Ovis aries: one gene and its partner. The protein of the gene in region 1 purifies or fractionates together with the protein of each later gene. This does not show direct contact. Links are inferred from orthologs where the notes say so. Each region holds a gene or a part of one and is shown in the gene's direction. Other genes may lie near its edges.

Region 1 (2,998 bases):
CAAGCCATTGTCACCTCTTGTCTGGACTGTCCTGGTGGCATTCTACTAGGCTATTCTGTATCTACCACTGCAGATGGAGGGTATAGCTAAAACGTGAGTCAGAGCATATCACTCCTACTAACATGCTTGTTTCACAAAGCAAAAGCCACAAACTCATGGCAGTGTCTAAGGCCCTGCATAATCCTGCTATTTCTGTAGTCATCTTCTAACCCTAGTTCCTTCTCCATTCACACTGTTCTCTTTGCTGTTTCAAAAATCTCTGTCACCTCTGACACTATACTCTTGCTGTTCCCTCTGCCTGGGACTTCTTACACTTTGATGTCCACATGTCTTATTCCTGTGAATCCTTAAATTATTTGCTCAAAGGTCTTTTCTGTGAGTCTGACTATAACCATCCTACTGAAAATAGCAACCCAGCAATGCCTTTCCTCTTCTCTGCTTATTTCCCTCCACTGTGTTGAGCAACATCATATATCATTTTCTTGTTTACTTATTATCTATATCTTTAGGACACTCTGGAGATGAGGGACAAGCTCAACACAGACTGGGGAATCCATGGATGTAGTCAAACTGCCTTGTGAACTCAGGCTGCCATAACAGAATAGAATAGTCTATATGCCTTAAACAAATCATAGTCATTCATTTCTCATAGTTCTGGAGGGTGGAACATCCAAGATCATGGTGCTGGCTGATTTGGTTTCTGGTGAGAGCTTTCTTCTGGGCTTGTTGTATTCTCATGCGGTACACAGAGAGAAAGACAGACCGAGACAGAGACACAGAGAGAGAGAGTACGTGTTATGGTGTCTTTTCTTATAAGGGCACTAATCCCATCGTGAGGACTCATCCCCATGAACTCATGTAACCCTCATTACATCCTGAAGGCTCCATTTCCAAATACCATCACATTGAGGGTTAAGGCTTTAACGCATGAATTTTGAAGGAACATAAACTATCCATAACACACCCAAATCAAGATTGCTTGAAATGATACAAGACAAATAGCATAATACAATTTAAGTTGTAAGGGAGATTAAAAAAAACAAAGAGAGATGGAAGAAGAACTCATATCATTGATAGGTGTACCAAGCAATTATAATATGTAGATTTTTTTTGGCAGAGTGGAGGGGTGGGCTGTGGCTTGTGGGAACTTGTTTCTCTGACAAGGAATTGAACCTAGACCACAGGAGTGAATGCACTAAATCTTAACCACTGGACCATCAGGGAATTCTCAATGTGTGGGCTTTATATGGCTCCTGATTAAATTAATATAATATAAAATTTTTATCAGACCATTGAGGAAATTGAAACACTGATTTCACATATATTGATATGTGAAAGTTATTTTTAACCATTTTGGGTGTGATAATTGCATTGTAATTCTCTCTTAAAAGTTGTTTAATTTCACACATTGATATATTTATAGACGCTTGAACTGCTGTGCTTACAATAATCCACTGATGTGAGGAGTCGGGTGGGTAATAGATGAAACAAGACTGGCTATGAGTTGTTAACTGTCAAAGTTAGATGGCAGGATTAATTATACTATTCTCTTTATATTTGCATGTTTAAACATTTCCAAACTTGAAGGTTAAAAATGTAACAGAAACCACATTAGGCACGATGTGCAGCACTGGAAAGCTTAGAAGTGTGAGGTTAAGAGAGGAGACGAGATTTTTAAAGGAAAAATGAACTCTGAAAGTGTTCATTTGAAGAGTGTAATCCAAGGCTCTCTTTTTGGTTTTATAGGCTGTGTGAAATGTATTTCAACTATGATACAAAACGTGCCCTAGAAACACTTCAAGAAGAAAAGCCTGAATTAACCATTGTCTTTGAACCTTCTCGGTAGTGGCGGAAACACTCTGTCATTCGGGTGTAGACAAGTGGTAGTGAGCATTCCTCCTTCAGCATTAAGATCATCCCTGCAATTCTTCTGGTCCAGTGAGGAAGAGTGAAAACTTGCTGATGGTCCTTCTGCCTGGTGAATGGGAGACTCTCCTTTACCCCTAGGTTGAAGACACAGTGCAGTAAAATCATCAAATGATACAGTTCTGATCGCAGTGGCTCAGTCAGAGGATGTGCTCCTCTTGGTGACCTCATGTATCTAACTCATTCAGGAAAACACTTTTTCTTTCTTTTTCTCTTTTTACTCTAACTCTCCTTTCTTTTGTACCTCTCCCCACTTTTTTTCTTTGACTATATCATCTTTCCTGCCATCTTTCTCTTAACTGACCATAACAGAATGAGTTAACTATATATTATGCTGCAATTTTGTGGCAGCAACTTATTTATTTTTATTTTTTGAACTGTTATATATTCTAATAAAATAATTGATGTTTATTATATTGTAGCTGGTTGGAAATTTTGAAAATAGAAAAAACTTTATTTATTGAGTTAAATTGTTTCCTTTCCTTGGTTTTAAGAGAGGGTGCCTAGAAAGCCTTTTACTTATTTATCTAAACCACTAAAGATAAATTAAATTGCTTCATGTATTTAAAAAATCTCTTTGCCAAATGATTCAATTGTAATGAATGAGGAAAAACAATCCCTCTAACTCTGATGGTTGAAATTTCAGTTCTGGTAAGACAGGAGGTTGAAAATCATGCAAAGGAAAATTTTAGGGTAGATGGAGCCTATATTCATAAATAGAAGTATTACGTAGAAAATGCATTTTGCCTTCAGTTTTAAGAATTTGTCTTGGATTTATCTCATCACAAGAGCATTTCATCTATCACACTTCACATAGCATTAACTCATTAATATGTATTGATTAATTACTTTTCCACACATGGAGAAACTCTCAAACCACATGGAATTGTTCAAGATAGGAATACTACTTCCTTTTTTCAAGTGAGTCATCTAGACCTTGCTTGTCAAAGTGTAGCCTATGGATTTCCGAAAACAGTGAAATTTAGTCAGTCAATCATGTCCAACTCTGCAACCCCGTGGAGTATAGACCTCCAGGCTCCTTTGTCCATGGAATTCTCCAGGCAACAATACT
Region 2 (3,028 bases), on another chromosome or scaffold:
TGGGCCCCAATCCACCTAACTCATCCTCATGATTCTGACCACTCTTTTTCCTCTTCCCCACATTCCCACATCCTCCATCTCTCCTAAACACCCCATCCAGTAAGGAAACATTAAGTCATATTAGAGTAAGAGGAGGACTTCCCTGTAGCTCAAATGGTAAAGAATCTGCCTGCAACGCAGGAGACCAGGGTTCGATCCCTGGGTCGGGAAGATCCCCTGGAGAAAGGACCGGCAAGCTACTCCAGTATTCTTGCCTGAAGAACCCCATGGACAGAGGAGCCTGTCGGGCTACAGTGTGTAGGGCTGCAAAGAGTCGGACACGACTGAGTGACTCACACTCACACACACACACACACACACACACACACACACACAAGTAAAAGGAAGATTCCTAAGTCTTTGGCAAGGACTGGAACCACAGCTTCTTAAGCCATTGTAGAGGGAGGATGGGGCCTTCTACCTTTGACAAACTATAACTTAATACCCAAATCTAATTAAAAGCATGTGCGGGGCAGACTTCCCCAGTGGTTAAGACTCCATGCTTCCACTTCAGAGGTGGTGGGTTCCAACCCTGGTGGGGGAACTAAGATATTGCATGCTGAGCGCCCACCGCCCCGCCCCGCCTCAAAGTGTGAGAAGGGGGTGAGAAGGGGGCTGACAGTTCCTCCTTCTGCACTCCACCCCTCCACTGAACCGTTTTTGAGGGGTTGTACTTCAAAAAACTACTCAAGCTCAGACAATCTGAACCTCGACATCTCTTATACAAGCCTCAAATCTTGTTCTAGATATGAGGAACACAGGAAACGGGGAAGGAAGAGGAGACAGTCTCAGTTCTGAGTGTTGAGATGACACCTCCCCACCACTCTCTCTGAGGGAGACCACCCTCAGAGCTGTATATGGTGAAATTTAGGGATTAACGTCAAGGAGGGGGCGGGGGGCTAGGACTTCTCTGGGGGCAAAAGTGACCTTGACTTCTAGAGAAGGCCATCCTAAAGGGGGCCCGGATGGCTTGACCTGGGGTTGCCCTTCTTTCTCCTCATCTTCCCGCAGACCCACTGACCCTGGATGCGGCTTCGGCTCACCCAGATCTCATCATTTCCCAGGATCTGAAGACAGTGACGCTGAACCCGGATCTTCAGAGAGTCTGCGCTGAGCACACCGACCCCGAGCGCTTCTATCCGTTCCGCTGTGTTCTGGGCTTGCCAGGCCTCAGCTCCGGCTGCCAGACCTGGGAGGCAGAGCTCCAAGGGCCCGGGGGCGGGGGCTGCGTGGTGGGCGTGGCCTCGGAGCTAGTACCCAGGAAGGGCATGCTGCAGATAGAGCCCTTGAGCGGCTTTTGGGCGCTGCGCATGGCGGGCTCCCAGTGCCAGGCGCTTACGGAGGCGGGCACCCGCGAGGATCTCTCGGTCTGTCCCAGGAAAGTGGGCGTCTGCGTGAATCACGAGTGCGGCAAGGTCGTGTTCTACGACGCCACCACGAGCAAGCACCTCTACACCTTCCACGCCTCGTTTCCAGGGCAGATCTTCCCCTTTTTCCGGCTCCTGTTTCCCGGGACCCAGATCACCCTGAGTCCCTAGAGTTGTTCTTTGCTTTCCTCTGCGTCTCCTCCCCGGTACCCCCTCGCTTTGGGATGTGTGGGATGTGTGCAGTAGGGTTGAAGCCAGACTTCCAGGAACCCTTTAGGAAAGTTACACTCTTTGGCTTCTTGATCGAGGCCTGATATCTCTGACATTCCCCCCACGGCCCCCACCCCGCCCTTTACATTTACCTTGTTACTTTCAGTCCCCTTTTCTCCCCAGTATACCTAGGTTGAAAAGGAAGCTTCAAATAGACAAGACTATTTACTGTCGCATTATGAATCAATAGGTGATTCTGCAATGAGAATGTTGGTTGAGACACAGATTCCAGGAGACCACACACTGATTTGAGGCTGTGGCTTTTCTCCTCGATGTCCTTGAGAGTGTGTGCAGGCTTGGCCCGTCTGGACCTCATCCTTTCGAGGGACCTGGAAAACATGACGCCGGATCGCTGATTGTTGTCTCCCCAGACGACTCAGTCAGGTCTAGACCTTTTGCAAGTGAGGACTGTCTGTCTATTATTTTAGGACGACCTCCAGGATATATTAAGTGAAAAAAAACCAAGATGGAGAATAGTGCACACAGCATGCTACACTTTACCTAAGAAAAGGGGAAATGTAAATATACCTTTTTATTTTTGCTTATATTTATTTTTAAAGTGGAAGGATAAGCCAAAACCTAACAAAAACACTCACCTTTGGGAGGAGGGGAAACCAAGTGGAAGACATGGAAATTAGGCTTTGGAATTATATAAATGTTTTACATCATTATAAAACAAAATTAAATTAAAACAAGAGAAACCTAACTGTGTAAGTAGTTGGTAGCTTAAATTCTCCGTTCTTAGGAGTTAGTTTAGGTGACTTTAAAACACAGTAATTTAGCTGTATCTCCTTTGTGGAATATAGTCTAATGACAAAAAGAATTGAAAATAAAACTTAAAATCTTCAGTTATCATCTTGGTAATAATATTTTTGTTGTTATTCTGAATTTATTATGTATTATGTTGTTTAGTCCCTAAGTCATATCTGACTCTTTTGTGACTCTATGGCTTCTCTGTCCATGGGATTTTCCAGGCAAGAATACTGGAGTGGGTTGCCATTTCCTTCTCCAGGAGATATTCCTGATCCAGGGATCCAACCTGTGTCTCCTGCATTAGCAGGCAGATTCTTTACTGCTGAGCCACCTGGGTAGCCCATGTATTATGTATGTGTACATATATACCCAAATATAATAAGATAAAGAAAATAAGCAATTATGTTAACATTACCAGGAACCAAGATTTTCCACCTGAAAGATTAGTTTTCTCTTATGATTATGACGTAAAAGAAGAGAAATAAAAACATAGTGATCCCAAATTTGAATTGGAAAATCAAAATGTGATAAACTCACGATGTGTTTTCCTTAAAAAAATAATAAAATGCATTCCTTAGCTTCCTTCACAAAGAAACACT

Evidence for each region.
Region 2: the proteins of NLRP3 (region 1) and TRIM31 purify together in Homo sapiens (affinity purification with western blotting; 3 studies listed by BioGRID). This does not show direct contact. The link is inferred for Ovis aries from reciprocal best matches to the Homo sapiens genes NLRP3 and TRIM31.

The regions. Positions count from the first base shown.
Region 1 is NC_056058.1:38,456,985-38,459,982, forward strand, and holds the end of NLRP3 (NACHT, LRR and PYD domains-containing protein 3), read left to right. Parts: intron 1-1,746; coding exon 1,747-1,846; 3' UTR 1,847-2,498; downstream 2,499-2,998. UniProt on the Homo sapiens protein: Sensor component of the NLRP3 inflammasome, which mediates inflammasome activation in response to defects in membrane integrity, leading to secretion of inflammatory cytokines IL1B and IL18 and pyroptosis.
Region 2 is NC_056073.1:27,906,270-27,909,297, forward strand, and holds the end of TRIM31 (E3 ubiquitin-protein ligase TRIM31), read left to right. Parts: intron 1-1,050; coding exon 1,051-1,577; 3' UTR 1,578-2,528; downstream 2,529-3,028.